Linked DNA regions of Mus musculus: region 1 is reported to be linked to region 2. The links are microRNA targets in miRTarBase. Many come from high-throughput screens and were not tested one by one. Region 2 holds a microRNA gene; the other region holds the end of a gene's coding sequence.

Region 1 (4,000 bases), not on the chromosome of region 2:
GAATTGTGTTGTGTTTGCAGTTTAGTCAAAAGAAATACTAAAGATTGTATGAGAAGACAATTCCCTTACAATTAAAGTTGCAATGTACACTTTTAAAGCCTGAAATAATTCTGACTTTTGATCTCTAGGCCAGATCTTGTTTTTAGCCTTAGAAGTAAATAGTATGCAAAAGAAATTGAAATTGTATGTATTTGACATGCTTAATCTAATAATATCGGAGTAAGCAGTATAAGTTAGCTTCAAACTGGACTGTAGAATTAAGTGGTCTAGTTCCATTAACAATGCTGATGTCCAAGAGTGGAATGAAGTTGCCAGGGTTCCTAGAGTTGGAGATTATAGGAAGCAAGAGAAGGGGTAGTTGGTAGCTAGTTGGTAGCTGACAAGTTAAAAGCCAGAGGGCTCAGCATGGCTAGTTGCTGGTTACTTTTATCAGTTAAGAAATTAGTGTTCAAAGGAGTAAGTCTCTCTCACTTTTCTAAGTAATTAATAGCTTAGACATCTAAGGTGTGTGTGTTGTTTGCCTTGGGAGTCCGAAGAACCTATTAATTGAAAGCAGGAGGCAGAATATTGTTATACATTCTTAGGAGTAGAGTTTGCTGCTACACCAGGGATGGAAGAAGTGAAGAGTCTGTTTCCATGTGTTACCCTTTTCAAATAATGTGACTAGTTGACCTCACACAGTCCACTTTTTCCTCCAAAGGAAAACCAACTCTACCAACAATCACAAAGATAAAAACTTGCGCCAGAGAAACACAAATTAAGTACTGCTTTTAATGTAAGTATGCCTTCTTTGGAGACTTAAAAGTTCTATTCAAATGAACTGTGCTTCTGCTCACCTTGCTACAAATTCTTCAGTAGTTGGTGTTACATGAAGACTTTATAATTTCAGACTAGCTGATACTAACAAGTTCTTTCTGTTCACTGCAGTGGATGGAAAGGAATGCCTTTCAGCTTTGTTGACCCACATATTTACTATACTAGGTTCATTTCATATTAAATTCCTTGTATTGCAGTCTACTTACATATTTTTTAGAAGGAGTTAAAAAAAATAGTTAACTTCTTAGGCAGATTATACCCAAAAGCCTGTTAGTACTTTGTGTGATCTCTGCTGAAGGCAAGATAGAAATGTGGCCATAAGGGAACAGGGCCAGAATGCTTAGAGGCACATGGAGATCAGAGTTTCATACCACATCCCTGAGCATGCTGTTTGAACCAAAGCTGTGTCTGATGTGGCACTGACATAGTTGTGATGGAGTGACAGTGTATATTCTTTTAATTTCCAGATATCCTTCTCTTTACAGCTCTTTAGGTTCCTGAAAAACGATGGCAACATGACCTGCTAAGTTTTCTGCTTGGACCTCTTTGGTCTCTCTCCCTTTCAAGTGAGCAACACCACAATGACCGTCTAAAGCATGCCTTATTTAGCCTCTCCTATAAGGGTGACCTAGCCAGGTACATTTTAAACAATGCTTCAGTGTAGAAGGTGTAAACTATTTTGGGCTTGATGTGCTGTGAATGTTGCTTTCCCTCCCTTTGTTAAAAATATTTAAATAGAAATGAAAAGGTCCTCTGAGGATCAGATCATGCATGCGCCATTTTTTACTTATGCAGCTGTTAAATTGGCAAAGCTCTAAACGCACTGCTGCCATCTAGTGATCATTTTGTAAAGTACAGCAAAACCTACAGATATATACAGTATATAAATATATATATATATTTATATTTTTGGGGGTGGGAGAAATCCAAAATAAAGTCAACGCTTGTTTCATTTTAAGCTGCTGATACTCATTCCTTATTATTTGTCGTCAGATGAGGAAGCTGCAGTTCTGGTACAAACTGATGAGAGTGTATAGACTTAAGTCTGGCATTCTAAGGGCTTACCGTATAACTTTAGGAACCTGGAACAGTCCACTGAACGGCTAGAATGAATTGCAGTATATATGTATGATTGATTGCTTTTTAAGTGACTATTTTTCCTCTTGTCAAATCATGTAAATTCTGAAATCTTTTGCACTGATGTGTCAAACCTTATTCTTGTATATTCAATCAAGGCAACTTTTATAATTTCCCATTTGTTTTCAATGACCCTGAAATGTTAATAGCATGGTGATATTCTATGCAACTCTAGTTACACCTTTTGGTTTGACACTGTATTTTCACATTGATTTCATGACTGATGATAGATTTTATAACCTGACTGGGTTCTCATGCGGTACTAACTGTAGATGCATGTACTTGTGTTCTGTGTAATTATTGAAGTGCAATGGTGTACAAAAAAAGTGGATTCACCTGTTTTTAACAATAAAACATTGATAAAAGGTGCTTGGAATAATACTCTTTATTCAAATACCTTCAGTTCCTTAGTTGCATACATGTGCAGGGCTTTAGTTTCTCAACCCTGTAATCTTTTTAAGTTCCTTTTCCACCTCTTCCACAAATGCTGGGAAGTTTTGATCCATGAGACATAAGCGTAGAAAAGGTCCCAATTCTTCTGTTCCCCATGAAGAGCCTTCATAGGCGAGGGTCAGCTTCTCTGGCGCCAGGATAGACTGCAGGGGTGCCAAAAGACCAGAGGGGTTGACTGCCTGATCCCAGATAATTTAACACAGAAAACATTGCCTTAAAATTTAGAACAACATAAAATGTTACTGTCTTTAGAAAAATCCTTTTCTATACTTAGGTTTCACGTTTACAATTCTGTGCCTACAATTTCTTTCCTTCCTCTATCCCACTCTTGAGTGCTATATTCTTCCCCTCCTTCCTTCTCCCTTCCTCATTCTGTCACTGCCCTGAACCCCAATTAAAAAAAACCAAAAACACCCAAACCAAAAACACAGGTTAATCTCAAATCCACGGTCCTGTTTCTGCATCCCAAATGTCTGGATTATAGACAGATACTACTCACTGGGCCCAGCTCTACATTTTCTGGACATACATAGAAAGTGAGATAAACTTGGATCTTTAAGGAAACATTGATGTATCTGAAGTTGAGATCTGGATAACAATATTATTGTAATAGCATTCCTCATGTGAAGCTGGATTCTGAATGGAAGAAATGGGTTGACTACCTGGGGGTGTAGCTTAGTGGCAGAATGCTTGCTTAGTGTGACTGAAGTGCAGGGTTTGATCCTTAGCATAACTAAAGAAACAGGGTTAGGGTGGCAGGAGCTGGTCTTTGTAATTGGCCATCTGAAGGACAAAAGTCATTTGTTTTGTTTGATGGTGGTGATCTGAGTAATTTGACAGAGACATGCAAACTTTTCCATAGTCAAGAATATAGGATGTCCTAAAACTCTCATGTTGTTGATTGTAGTCTTGTCATACTCTTAAGGCTGGACTGGATAGCTATGACTCTCTTCTTCAGTCTTCACTTTGCCTTTTCAAAAATGTCATGTTCTACAATAAATCATAGTGTACAGTCCCTTTTTAAGGAGTCAGTCCTTTGATTTTTTTTTTTTTTTGACTTGACAGTGAAATAAAAGTATTATGTATTAGTAGAAATTGGCTTTTCCTTGGAGAGCAACATGAGAGCTCTACTCTGGTGATGCTGGCTGCATGGTAACCTCTGGCCTCCTATCACAGGCTTGAAGGTCAAAGTCTATACTCCACGGTTATGTTGCTAAGCTATAATGTTCCAGAGGTAGGTGGTTTAAAACATTTTTAATATATTTCATCTTAGAATGATTTGATACAGATTTAGCCACATTGAGTTGAGAAGCATCTGTACTTCTGGCTTCTTTCACTTCATGTGGATTATTACTAAGTGTTCCTATAATTCATTCCTCTTTTTGAAATTAAATATTCTATTGTGCAGATGTACTACAATTAATGCATTCTCCTTCAATTGGCCTTGGTTGTTTCGCTTTTTGTTATAAATGTCCAAGTTTGGTTATTTTGAGATGGGATCTCATTATTTAGCCTAGACAGTTTTCTCTGACTTATCACCCGCCTCAGTTCACCTCCTAATTTTCAGGGTTTCAGGCCTGTGTTACAACTGTGC
Region 2 (4,289 bases):
CAGCGCCCCCTCCTCACTGCGGCGCCAGAGCAGGCGCCTGCATCTGCAGCTCCGGCTTATCTTACCGGCTCCAGCTGTACAGAACCATCCCCGTTGCAGAGGAGGCAGCGGTCGGTCGGAGCTGCAGGTGTCGCCCAGGCTTTGTTCGCCCAGGGCCTGGCCTGATGCTGGAGAGGCAGCTGGCAGGAGCCCTTGCCTGCCCGGAGATGACCCCTCCCATCGAGTCCATAGAAGTGCCAGCAGCCGATGCCCCCCAGTTAGGGGGTCCCTGTTCGTGATGGAGGTTCTTCTTGGTGATGTTGCCATTTGGGTGAACCGGAGGCAGGGGCTCGGGAATCATGAAGGCATCCAGGAGGGTGGAAAAGTATTGGGAGTGAGGTGGGGGCGGGGAGGGGATTGTGCTTGATGCTTTTCCAATTTCAGAGATGGAGTTGAAATGTCTTCCTTCGGGTGTGACCCCCGGGGACTAGACAGGTTTGTTGGGGAACAGGAGCAAGCAATGGGAAAATGCCCCTGGAGCCTGGGCAGTGAGTAGTCCCCCAGAAAGCTGGGCCATTTGCTCCAGGCTGTCACGTCCTGGAGACTCTCAGCCTCTGGGGCTGGAAAACCCAGGAGCACAGAGGGCTGGTTTACTTCTAACCTACCAGTCAACAGAAAGGCCTGCTCTAGGAGCCAGCAGCTGGGGAGGGGAGTGTAGCCTGTGCCTCTCCCTTATCTGCGGTGCTGAGAGATTATACTCCGAATGCCCCTACACTCCCCCAAGCCGTGCCAGCTGGAGTGTTTTAGGGGCCGTGAGGGAAGTGGGCTTTCCACTCTGCATCTCCCCCGTGAGCACAGGAAGCTTCTAGAAGAATGGACCAGAGGCGGGGTAGCATGACTCTGCATTATCTTCAGAAGGTGGAGGGTTTCAAGGCATTGGGTCCCTGAAGTGTCAGGGGAGGTCAGGTCAGAGATGTCTGTGGGTAGCATCAGGATGCTGGACTCTGCTAAAGTCCTGGGGTGACTGTGGATGATGACCAAGAGGGATGCTGCCTCTGTGAGGGAGGAGCAGGAGCTGGAGCTGTCAGCAGGTGGCAGGAGGGTGTGACCCTGAAAGGTAGGAAGCCACAAGCTGCTGTCTGCTCTGGAGAATAGTGGGGGGCCGGGGGTGGGGTGCAAGCAGCCAGATTTGGGAGGAGGTAAATGAGCAGTTGCTGCCCATGGGTTTGCTGCAATGGGGTGCCATGCTAAGTGTCACAAGAAGCAGGGGTCTTGGAATTTGAGAGGCTTTGGGGTTGGGGACAAGGCTTAGAAAAGGGACTAAAGTGGGGAAAACCTGCCATTAACAAACAACCCCCTTCCCCAAATAAAACCTGTGAGTGCCAGGGGAGGGTAGTGCCCCCCAAAAACCCAGGAGGGAAAGATCTGGAAAAATGAAACCAACTCTGAGAGAGATGGGCGGGGTCAGTGGGGAACAATACTGCCGCTCCACTCCCACCCACCTTCAGGGCTGGCAAGGAGGAAGCTGCTGGTAGGGTAGAACGGAGAGACGTTCCTACGATGGGTATGTACTCCAGTGCTTTCCTGGAAGTGTAGAGAGCTTTGCAGAGCCTGCCTTAGCTGTTCTGATGTTGAGCACCTATGGTTCCAGTTGGGCTGGGTCTCAGCTCCTCTATCTTTGACCCTCAGCAAGCAGGTCTGCCAATGCATGGGCTTCTGGGCAGCCTGACCCAGCCTGCCCGGGGCCCTCAGGCCAGTGCCCAGGCTCTGGCTCCGTGTCTTCACTCCCGTGTTTGTCCGAGGAGGGAGGGAGGGACGGGGGCGGTGCTGGGGCAACTGGAACAGCGCAGGTCACCGGGCTGGCTGGGTGAGGTGGCCAGGCAGAGCCAGGGGGCTGCAGGGGAGGCCATTGGATGGGGTATGCTCATAGTAGCTGGCCAAAAGTCTCATGGGTCCCATTTATCCAGAACCTGCCGTGGAGTGGGGCGAGTTTCTGTTTCTGAGTGTGTGTCCTTAATTAACTTCTTCCTGTTTCAGCTTCGTTCTTCTGTCTATGTGGTGAGGGGTGGCAATTGGGACCACTAAGATGGAGAAGGATGTCAGAGGAGCAGAAACCATGGGAGGGGCCAGTAAGGCTGTGCCCACCTCTCTCTTGCCAGTGCTCTGTTGTGCAGCCTGGTCCTCAATATTTCCACCTAAAACCTTTGGCCTACACACACAGAGTGCCTCTGTCCCAGCTGAGCCCAGGATGGCCCCATCCTGATACCTGCAGCCTCCATCCCCATAGCTGTTTCCCCACTCACTGCTGAAGTCAGAGATGGGTCATCCTCTACAGTGCCCCCCATGATTCCTCCTCTAACAGAAAAACCCTTAAACCCCACCACTCAAAGAGAGAGATGTGGCATATCACCTCAGCCCAGCAGACCATGGCCCGGAGCAGAGCAAATAGAAGGCCCTGCTGGGCCCTGTACCTTGTTGTGCCTGTAGCCTGCTTGCGGGTGGATAATCTCTGCTTAGCCCTCCCTACTCTAGAAGGAAGGGAATCAATCAATGGATGCAGATCAAGTGGCAGGACCTAGGCTTGCAGCTCCCAGCTGTCTGGGCACCAACCCAGCCCTTTCTTGAGGTTGGGTGCTTAATAACATGTTGCTTCCCAGGACCTGCAGTCCCTGTGAAAGGCAGGTGCCCTGGGCAGGAGGAAGCAGTGTGGTAGGAGCAGAGGGTACCAGGTAGGGGAGTGGTGGGAGGGGCATTCCGTGTGCACCTCCCATCTCTGACTCCCTTTTCTCTTGACTCCCCCAAGCACCCTTGAATCAGAATACAATTCCTTCTGTTCTTCTACCAGCTGTCAGCCACTGCCCTGCTCTGTGGACCTTTGGGGACCCTGAAACCAGGTGGGACTCAGCCTGTGAGGCCAAAAGTCCCCAGGGTTCTGGGATGAAGCACAGCTCCCATGCCTTAGTAAGCAGGAGAAGGGCTAGGCCAGGCCCTCAACCTGAGACCTGGAAGAGCAGATCTGAAGGTTGCCCTACCTAGGGATGGAGGGGTGGCATCTGGGGATATATACCTTCCATGTCAGGTCAAAATCACAGAGGCTGTACACAGTTCCACTCTGCAATATGCACACACACACACACACACACACACACACACACACACACACCATCCAGCACACATAAATGCTTGTGCTTACTAAGTGCTAAAGACAAGGATGTGATCATGTAACAAGCTCTTAAGGGTGAATGCAACCTCAGAATCTCTCCTTAGTCAGAGATCTCCACTCCCAGTTGGCTTCAGGGGAGGGGGGTTCATAGAAATGGGGCCTAACACATAATGGCCTCATCCTGAGGTCACAGGTTCCTGCCCCCACATGCTTCTTGACAAGATGTCCACTCCCCTCTGGCTCAGTCCCCCACCTCTGATGGCAGCCTGCAGTATCACATCCTGGAGTTCTTCACATCCCACCTTTCCCATCAACCCGTCAGCAAGGATAAAGCCCAGGTACCAGCCCTGGCACCTACTCTGGGCTCTGGAAACTCTGCATTTCACTGGCTCCCCATAACATCAAAATCAGCATTCCTGCACGAGGGAAGCTTCTAGAATCCCTGCTGACCGCTCCCTCTTCTCAGACCTTTCACCTAAGGCTGGGCCACTGCCTCTGCCTTTTTGATCCACCCAGTCCCTTGTAGGGACTGTAGGGCTCTGTCTTTAGGCTCAGAGACAGCAGTGTGACCCTATGAGAAGGGAGTAGAACAGAGTGGGGTCAGGCATAGGCCCAGTCCTGAGTAGCTCAGCCCCCAACTGGGACAAAAGCCAGTCTCCAAGCCTCAGATTCCCTGTAAATTGGTGTCACTATAGCCTTAGCAGAAGGTTTCCTCTCCCATTGAGGTTTTCTTCTGATGCCAGGAGACTCTCAGGTGTGTGCTGTAAGGGCTCCATGGTAGACACTTTGAGGCCAATTGTAGGCCCAAAGCAACCCTCTGTCAGCAAGTGGCAGTTGATATTGTCCTGAATGGTACTGCTGCAGTGCCACCAAGGGCTGACAGGTCAGCTCACCAGCCCAGGATAGATGGCGGGGGAGGGAGTTTCAGCCAGAACACTATGGGGACTGGGAATGTGTCCAGCTAGTGGGAACCTCAGGCCAGGGTTGAGTGGCCTCTGTTTGGGACCCAGTGCCTGCGCAGAGCATGCTTTTCTTCACCCCAGAATGGTACCCAGGGCCCTTGCAGAATGCTGACACAGGCCCTGCAGAACATTCATGGGGCACTCCACTCTGCTGTCAGTCAGGTGGCCTCTGAGACTGGCCTGAG

What was found. Region 2 holds the annotated microRNA mmu-miR-149-5p (UCUGGCUCCGUGUCUUCACUCCC, at 1,746-1,768, shown strand). A microRNA usually pairs through its seed, bases 2 to 8, with sites in the 3' UTR of a target mRNA and lowers its output. Matches are read on the target gene's strand: a 7mer-m8 pairs with bases 2 to 8, a 7mer-A1 pairs with bases 2 to 7 and ends in A, and an 8mer does both.
Region 1: miRTarBase lists Nptn as a target of mmu-miR-149-5p. The part of its 3' UTR that is shown has no 7-base or 8-base seed match.

Annotation. Positions count from the first base shown.
Region 1 is chr9:58,650,558-58,654,557 of GRCm38, forward strand. It overlaps Nptn (neuroplastin), which reads left to right. Exons shown (of 9, transcript NM_001357751.1): 8 at 701-775; 9 at 1,302-2,322. The coding sequence ends at 761. It overlaps Rec114 (REC114 meiotic recombination protein), which reads right to left. Exons shown (of 6, transcript NM_028598.1): 6 at 2,299-2,549. The coding sequence ends at 2,385. Among named protein-coding and RNA genes, the nearest start is that of Nptn, 70 kb to the left of the region's middle.
Region 2 is chr1:92,848,636-92,852,924 of GRCm38, forward strand. Mir149 (microRNA 149) reads left to right here and starts at 1,743; the gene lies at 1,743-1,808. All of the region lies in intron 1 of Gpc1 (glypican 1), which reads left to right. Gm29480 (predicted gene 29480) reads right to left here and starts at 162. Exons shown (of 4, transcript NR_166170.1): 1 at 66-162.